Oryctolagus cuniculus: one gene and its partner. The protein of the gene in region 1 interacts with the protein of each later gene in a biochemical or structural test. Links are inferred from orthologs where the notes say so. Each region holds a gene or a part of one and is shown in the gene's direction. Other genes may lie near its edges.

The links.
Region 2: the proteins of FGFR4 (region 1) and FGF19 form a complex in vitro, tested with the Homo sapiens proteins (2 studies listed by BioGRID and IntAct). The link is inferred for Oryctolagus cuniculus from reciprocal best matches to the Homo sapiens genes FGFR4 and FGF19.

What each region holds. Positions count from the first base shown.
Region 1 is NC_091437.1:63,119,160-63,122,953, forward strand, and holds the end of FGFR4 (fibroblast growth factor receptor 4), read left to right. Parts: intron 1-958; coding exon 959-1,069; intron 1,070-1,160; coding exon 1,161-1,351; intron 1,352-1,672; coding exon 1,673-1,795; intron 1,796-1,876; coding exon 1,877-1,947; intron 1,948-2,079; coding exon 2,080-2,217; intron 2,218-2,454; coding exon 2,455-2,560; intron 2,561-2,639; coding exon 2,640-2,786; 3' UTR 2,787-3,256; downstream 3,257-3,794. UniProt on the Homo sapiens protein: Tyrosine-protein kinase that acts as a cell-surface receptor for fibroblast growth factors and plays a role in the regulation of cell proliferation, differentiation and migration, and in regulation of lipid metabolism, bile acid biosynthesis, glucose uptake, vitamin D metabolism and phosphate homeostasis.
Region 2 is NC_091432.1:3,209,575-3,213,932, forward strand, and holds the start of FGF19 (fibroblast growth factor 19), read left to right. Parts: upstream 1-1,512; 5' UTR 1,513-1,631; coding exon 1,632-1,872; intron 1,873-2,094; coding exon 2,095-2,198; intron 2,199-4,008; coding exon 4,009-4,320; 3' UTR 4,321-4,358. UniProt on the Homo sapiens protein: Involved in the suppression of bile acid biosynthesis through down-regulation of CYP7A1 expression, following positive regulation of the JNK and ERK1/2 cascades. Stimulates glucose uptake in adipocytes. Activity requires the presence of KLB and FGFR4.

The sequences.
Region 1 (3,794 bases):
CCCACGGTTCTTGGCGAGTGCCTGGCACATGGTCAGGGCCCATCAGATCCTAGCCGTCGGGGCAAGGATGATGGTGAGGATTTGGGGTGACTGAGTTCTGTATCCTCCATCAGTTCTGCCAGTGTCAGCCTTGGCCACAGGTCTCCTTGAACCTCGCATCCCCCATGGTCCCCCAGACACACCTGCAGCCTTCCCTGGGCCCTTCCCAGGTCTGGCCTCTGTGCCCAGCACCCTGGAAGAGCAGCACTTCTGCGTAAAGTCAGTGCCAGACCCTAGGAGCTGCCCACTGGAGCCTTTTACTGCCTTCCCCCAGCCCCCTCTCCCAAGGAGCCCAAGCCGCTCCTCTCCCCCCTCCGCCCTCCTCCCTCCGGCCCTCTTCCTCCCTCCTTCTCCTGTCTCAGAGCAGCTGGGGCCACCTGGCACTTTCTGGGAGGCAGGGATTGGGAAACAGCCTTGTGATAGTGGCGTGCGTGGGGGTGGGGGCGGGGGCGGGGGCGGGGGCGCTGCGCCACTGACCCGGGGCCGCAGGTCAGTTCCGGAGCCCGGCCGCTGGTCCTCAGCCTTCTCTCCAGCCGCTCCCCTCTCTGAGCTGTGCTGGCAGCTCCCAGAATTCCCAGGCCGGATGGATGCCAGGCCCTGGTCAGACAGAGGCCTCAGGGCGCCAGCCTGCTTCCCACCCCCGCTGAGGGACCAGCGCCAACCCTTCCCAAGGCAGCTTCCTTCCTGTCCCAGCTCTCCCCGTCTCCCGTCTCCCGTCTCTCTCTGGAAGGCCTCCCTCTTTCAGATCCTCAATGCCATTGCATCCTGAGAGGGAGGGCTGATCCACTGTTGGGTTCCGCACGAGTGAACCCTGAGGTTCCGAGAGGTTACGCACAGCCTGGTGGGGATGCAGCCGCAGAGCTGCCCCTCCCCCGCCCCGCCCTGAGCAGCTAGATGGCAGCTTCCCCACCCATTGCAGACAACGCCTCAGACAAGGACCTGGCCGACCTGGTGTCTGAGATGGAGGTGATGAAGCTGATAGGCCAGCACAAGAACATCATCAACCTGCTAGGCGTCTGCACCCAGGAAGGTGCGGCTGGGCGGGGCTCGGGGCACGGGCAGGCGCTGGCCGGCAGAGCCGCCTGTGACCTCAGTGGCCTCTCTGTGCCCCTCCCCGCCAGGGCCCCTGTACGTGATTGTGGAATGTGCGGCCAAGGGAAACTTGCGGGAGTTCCTGCGGGCCCGGCGGCCCCCGGGCCCCGACCTCAGCCCCGAAGGACCGAGGAGCAGTGAGGGGCCACTGTCCTTCCCGGCCCTGGTCTCCTGTGCCTACCAGGTGGCGCGCGGCATGCAGTACCTGGAGTCGCAGAAGGTGTGGCCGCGGCCATGCTCTGGCCCCTCTGCCCTTGCCCCCCTCATCTCCCCTTTCCCGTTGCCGCCTAAATGTCCCCAGAGCTTCACACCCCTGCCCTTGGCACTGCGCAGCTGACACTTCCTGTCCCCATTTGGTTCATCCTGACCCAGGGGCAGGGCTGGGGAGAAGACCCAGGCCCTGAAGCCAGACGGCTTAGCTCTCCCTTTCCCAGTCACAACTTCCCCATCTGTAAAATGGGTGGAAGATGCATGTGCCCAGCTCCCAGCCATGTGTTCCTGTAAACCCAAGCCCCGTGTCACATGCCTGCCTTTCCCCCAGTGCATCCACCGGGACCTGGCTGCCCGCAACGTGCTGGTGACCGAGGACAACGTGATGAAAATCGCCGACTTCGGGCTGGCCCGAGGCGTCCACCACATTGACTACTACAAGAAAACCAGCAATGTGAGGGCGGCGGGGGCTGGGGGCTGGGGGCCCAGGCCTGGGGCTGGCGGGACTCCACCAATGCCACCCCTCTCCCTCCAGGGCCGCCTGCCTGTCAAGTGGATGGCCCCCGAGGCCTTGTTTGACCGAGTGTACACACACCAGAGTGATGTGTAAGACCTGCGACCTGAGGTCGGGGTGCCTGCCAGGGGTCATCACCCCCAGCCCTGTGTAGCCCACACCCGCTGGGCCCCCTGCAGTGGGCAGGGGAGCTGTGCCCTGCTGATCCTCTGTCCTGCCTCCAGGTGGTCATTTGGGATCCTGCTCTGGGAGATCTTCACACTTGGGGGCTCCCCGTACCCCGGCATCCCCGTGGAGGAACTGTTCTCACTGCTGCGGGAGGGCCATCGGATGGACCGGCCCCCACACTGCCCCCCAGAGCTGTGAGGCTGGCCCACACTCCCCACCCTCCAGTCCTCAGCCCCTGCCTTGACCTTGGCTGGTCCTGAGGGCAATGCCTCCTCCCTCTCTTCCCCTCCCTTCCCCCTCCTCCTCCTGGGTCCAGAGGGGAGGCCTAGGCGGGGTCCCCGCCCTTCCACTGGCTGGCCCCACCCACCGCTCCCCCTCCCAGGGCCACGAGGCCCCTCCCCCAGGCCTGAGGCTGCTCCTAACCTCCCCAGGTACGGGCTGATGCGCGAGTGCTGGCACGCGGCGCCTTCCCAGAGACCCACCTTCAAGCAGCTGGTAGAAGCGCTGGACAAGGTGCTGCTGGCGGTCTCTGAGGAGGTACTGCCCCCTGCCCGCCCCGAGCCTCCTGCTGCTGCCCACTGCGCTTGCGCAGGCTCACGTGTTCTGTTCCCCGCAGTACCTCGACCTCCGCCTGACCTTTGGACCCTACTCCCCCTCCGGAGGAGACACCAGCAGCACCTGTTCCTCCAATGACTCTGTCTTCAGTCACGACCCCTTACCATTGGGGCCCAGCCCCTTCCCCTTCCCTGGGGTACAGACGTGAGCAGGGGCCTCCTGGCTCAGCCACAATCTAAGCACTGTTTGACCTTGGCAATCCGGGGGCCCTGACCTTGGGGTGCCATTCCAGATCTCTGACTCCACTCTGGGGAGGTCGGTCTTTAGCCCATGGGTCCAGTTGAGGCTTCCCGCGCTCTGGCCCCGGGTTCCCAGCCCAGAGTTCAGCCCTGGGCATGAGGCCCTGCCCTTGGGGTTCGGCTGCCAATGTCCCAGTAGCCTGAGTGTTGGCGTCCTGCTTAGGGGTTTGGCTGGGCCTGGCTCCAGACTGCTCTTCTGAACCTGCTTCCCAACAGCAACAGAGGTTTGGAGATCGGAACCCTATGTCCCCAAGCGCCCCCACCCCGATCTTCCCAGCTCTCGGTGGAAGGAGCATTGACCCCTGTGCCCCTGGGAGGCTGGGAGCCGAAAGCACAGACACAAATGGCCTTTTTATAAATTATTGTTTTTTGAAATAAACCTGTGTATGCCTGGTGTCTTTCCCCGAGGGGCATGGAGGGAGGGGGTGCAGGATGGAGGCACTCCTGAGTGACACAGACCCAAGGGGCTGAGTGCCAGGCCTCGGGTTTCCAGGAGTCCATATGGGCCTTGGCCTTGGCCCCGCCCATCCTATGCCCTGCCCACATATGTGTGCATGCATACGTGCAACTTGTCTGTCCCCAAGGGAGCTGCTGGCTTTCCCCCCCCCACCACCTGTTCAGCATTAACCAAGCTGATCAGCAAAAACAGGACAACCTGAAACCCTGCCCCAGCCCTGCCGGCTCGCTCCCACGCGCTGGTGGTGGGGGCCGTGCCCACCCCCCGCACTCCCGGCCTGGCCAGTCTCCCAGCAGCAGCTGGCTGCTGCCTGGCTGGACTGCAGCTGTCCCTGCTTGCCTGGCCCTCTGTTGGGGAGGCCTTAGGGGCCCTGTTCTAAGAAACCCCCTCTGATGGCTCAGCTTCCTGGGACTCAGCCTGGACCCTTCCCTGGCTCTATCCTGCTGCTCCCTAACCTGAC
Region 2 (4,358 bases), on another chromosome or scaffold:
CCCGGCGGAGGCCACTCTGGCCTGGGTTATACGGAGCGGGGGACTCGGTTCACCTGCCTGGAGGCCGGGAGAGTGGACACCGTGGGACGGTCAACTCCCATCTCTCACTCCTCTGGGCGCCCTGATCCCGGGGCACTCTCTCCCCCCCACCGACCCCAAGTACCTCGCCAGCAGGAGGGGAGGGGGCGGTGGGGCCAGGGGCCCCAGGCGCAGAGGTGGCCCGGGCTCTTCACAAAAGCCGGGGAGGGGAGGGGACAATTCGCTTGAACAGGAGCCGCCGCCGTGGATTGAAAACCACAGGGAGGAAGTAATTCGGTTTCATAGAAGCCGCGGCTTTCTGAACCCAGACACGCAGCGCGGGGGGTCCCCGGCCCACAGGTCTTTGTCAAGACCCAAGCCGGTGAGGGGTCTCCGCGCGCTCAGGCATCAGCGCGGGTCACCGGCTGCGAATGACCGCGGCCCCGCCGGCTGAAACCCACCAGGCCGCTCGCCCGTCCCCGAAGTGGCCTCCGGGGGGCCCGCGTCCACCAGCCCGGGGCGGGGGAAGGGGGGAGCGAGGGCGCGCCGAAGCCCCCCGCCGGCGCACGCTCCCGGCGCCGCGGTCTTTCTCTGCCGGAGCTGCCTGGCGGAGAATCTCCGCCCCTGGACCACCCAGACGGGGCCCTCCCCGACCACGCTGCCTGCGCCCCCCGCCCAAGGCGCCCGAGACGGAGGGGAGCGCAGGCCCAGGAGAGCCGGGGCTGCGGGGCGCGCGATCCCGGGCGCAGCGCCGCGCGGAGGCTCCTAGGGCGCAGGCGCCATCTAGCGCCCGCCGGGCCCCGGACTCGCCCATTGTCTCCCCGCGTCCGCGCCGCCGCCCGGGAGCGCGCCCGGCCCCCCGTCGGGGGGCGATTTACCCGGAGAAAGGGGGCCGGGGCGGGGAGCCGGAGAAGAGAAAGCCGGGGGGCTGGCGAGACGGCCGGAGCGGCGGGCGGAGGCCCCAGCGGACGTCGCCCGCCGCGGGAGGCGCGCAGGGCCGGGGCTGCAGGCGGAGGCGGGGCGGGGGGCGGCAGGGAGGGAGGGAGGTAGCGGGGTCTTTGCAGGAGAGGGGGCCCCGAGGCCGGGAGTCGCGGGATCCCTGCCACCACACACCCTGCGCGCCCGCGAGACGGGCTCCAGACGCCTGCTTGCTTTTAGAAAATTAAGCTCGCCAAGCCAGGCATCCCCGGGCCGCCGCGCCGAGCAGAGTGCCCCCCTGTCCCCCCGCCGCGGGACCCCTCCTCTTCTCCTCCCGCTCCCCGGCGAGCCGCACAGCCTGGGCGGGGTCACCGCCTCGGAGCCACCGCCCACCTGCCGGGGTCGGGGCGGGGGCTGGGGCCGTGGGCGGGGTGTGAGTGGGTGTGTTCGAGGGGCGGGGGCCTGCTGCCATCCCGATAAGAAATGCCTCGGTGCCGCGGGCACCTACCCGCCGGGCCAGGGAGGCGAGCTATATAAGGCCGCGCGCCCGGAGCCGCCGCGCCGTCGGAGCGGGAGTGCTGCGCGCCCAGGCGCCCGGAGCGCACGGCCGGCTCGAGGGCCGCAGCCATCCCGCCCTCGCACCCCAGCCTCCTGCATCCCCTCCGCAGCCGCGCCGCCAGCTCCCGGGAGGTGCCATGCGCCGCGCGCCGAGCGGAGGTGCCGCGGCCCGCGCCTTGGTCCTGGCCGGCCTCTGGCTGGCCGCGGCCGCGCGCCCCTTGGCCTTGTCCGACGCGGGCCCGCATCTGCACTACGGCTGGGGCGAGCCCGTCCGCCTGCGGCACCTGTACGCCACCAGCGCCCACGGCGTCTCGCACTGCTTCCTGCGTATACGCGCCGACGGCGCCGTGGACTGCGAGCGGAGCCAGAGCGCACACAGTGAGTGCCGGCAGGCCCCCTGCCCCCACCCCGCAGCCCCCCTCACGCCCGGGATCCCCATGCTTGGGCACCCGGGCTCTGGGACCCGTGCCCAGACCCCCATCCCCCCCAGGCAGCGCCCAGAGCGAAGGGGGGGGGGTTCCCGCGCGGGCACAGGCGGCACCCACGTGTTGTGGGCTCCCGCGGGTGCCAGCTGTGGCTTCTCGCTTTGCTTGCGCCCAGGCTTGCTGGAGATCCGAGCGGTCGCCCTGCGCACCGTGGCCTTCAAGGGCGTGCACAGCTCCCGCTACCTCTGCATGGGCGCCGACGGCAGGATGCGGGGGCAGGTAAGTGTCTGGCGTGCGGGGTGCGCCCCGCGCCAGCTCTCGGGATTTCTTGGCTCCCTCTGCGGCGACCCGCGTGGAGCCGCGGGGCGGGTGGCGCCGGTGTCCCGCGTTGCTCTGCGGTGTGAGCAGCCGCCTGTGTGTCTCCTTTGAGGCCGCGGCGGGCGCAGCTGGAGGGAGGAAGCCCATTGATATGAAACAGGAAAGCGCCCACCTTCAGCCGGGGCTTGCGCGTGTGTGGTCCTCAGCCTCCTCCCCCCGCTCCCCCCCCCCCCCGCCCTCAAGGGTAAGAGAAAAGAAAGAGAGAGGGGGAAAAGGGCACATCTACAAATTACGAATTTTTAAAATCTCCACCAACTCCGGGGTGTGTGGGAGGCAGTGCATTCGGCACTGGCCAGATGTGCTTCCAGTTTTCCACCCGAGAAGGCGGCCGTGCGGTTCAGATGCGGGCGAGCCAGCAGCGCATTCCCGCGGTGCCGCGGTCGGGGCGGGCGCACCTGTGCCGAGAAGGCGCTCGGCTGGGGGGGCTGGGGAGATCCAGGTAGCCGCCGAAAGCCGCGGCAGGCGCACACTTCCTGCCGGGGCTCTGGTCCCGGGAACAAAGGCTGCGAGTTCAAAGGAACGCGCCCCCAGGCCCCAGGCGCGCCTGGGGCTGTGTGAGGTCCCCGGGGGCCCCCAGGCCTCCCACACACAACACACAGAGCCCTGGGCCCCCGGGAGGAGCGGGGCCAGGGCACGAAGATGCAAATCTGGCCCGGGGCAGGCCTTTTGTGAGCCGAAAGGGAAGCATTAGCGAGTGTGACATTTATCTGTGCAAAAAGAGCGAGACGGAGGAGGAGGGGCGGGGCTGAAAGCCGACACCGGAGCCCCTGCCGGCCCCCTCCCCCGTGTCACTTTTGTTGTTTTGACGCTAATGGGTGAGGGGGGGCTCGGGGCGAGGAGAGGGGGAAAGGGGCTCTCCACCTAAAATCCCTTCCTGCCTGTTGAGCTCACTGGCGCGGCTGGGCACACACGGAGACTTAAAAGTCGCGCCGTCTCCTGGGAAGGTGAACCCCTTCCATTCTTTGCAAGGAGAAAGGATGTCGGTTTCTCCCCGCCCCGGACATCCGAAATATTTCCATTGTTCATCTGTTCATTCACTTTTTTTTTTTTTTTTGAAATGCAAGAGAACTCACTGCCGCTGCCAGGCAGCGCCGCGGCGGCTGCGGCTTTGTCCTCGTGCCCTGGTGGCCCGGCAGGAGCCGGTGCTCGGTGTCTTATCAGCCCATGGCTCACCACCTGCAGTTCAATGACCTCGGTGGATGGAGGCTGACTGGGCCAGGGCTGCAGCCACCGCCCAGCCCCCTCCCGGCCCCGCGCTGTCCTCTGGCCCCCACGCGGGATGCCACCTCCCGCATCTCGGCTCCGCCCAGGCTGCCTGCGTGCAGGGCCAGGGACAGATTCCCGCCCCCGCCTCCCTCCGGCACACATTTCCGGTCCTCCCGCTGGGTGCAGCCCCCTCCCTCGCCTGGGGGGAGGGGCTGCTCTTCCTGGCAGGCTGCCTGGGCCCTCTGGGGGGGGGGGGGGCCTGGGATGGCAGCGGGCCCGGAGGTTCCAGCAAGCTGATTCTTAGTGGAAGGCTCCCTCACAACCGGGCTTACCGGTGTTCTCCCCAATGCCAGTGGTGACAGAGGTGGGCTGAGTGCCTGTCCCGCCTGTCAGTGGTAGGGCTCAGGACACAGGTGGGGCTGACAGATGGGGAGAGGGAGGCCCTGGGGCAGCCGCAGCCCAGGCTCACTGGCCACCCCGCCCCGCGTCCCCCATGTCCCCGCAGCTGCAGTACTCGGAGGAGGACTGTGCCTTCCAGGAGGAGATCAGCTCCGGCTACAACGTGTACCGCTCCACGACGCACCACCTGCCCGTGTCTCTGAGCAGTGCCAAGCAGAGACACCTGTACAAGACCAGAGGCTTCCTGCCCCTCTCCCACTTCCTGCCCGTGCTGCCCATGGCCTCCGAGGAGACCGCGGCCCTTGGCGACCACCCTGAAGCCGACCTGTTCTCCCCGCCCCTGGAAACCGACAGCATGGACCCCTTCGGCATGGCCACCAAGCTCGGGCCGGTGAAGAGCCCCAGCTTTCAGAAGTAGACGGTGGGCGGAGCCCGAGCGCCTGCAAAGACAGCCCC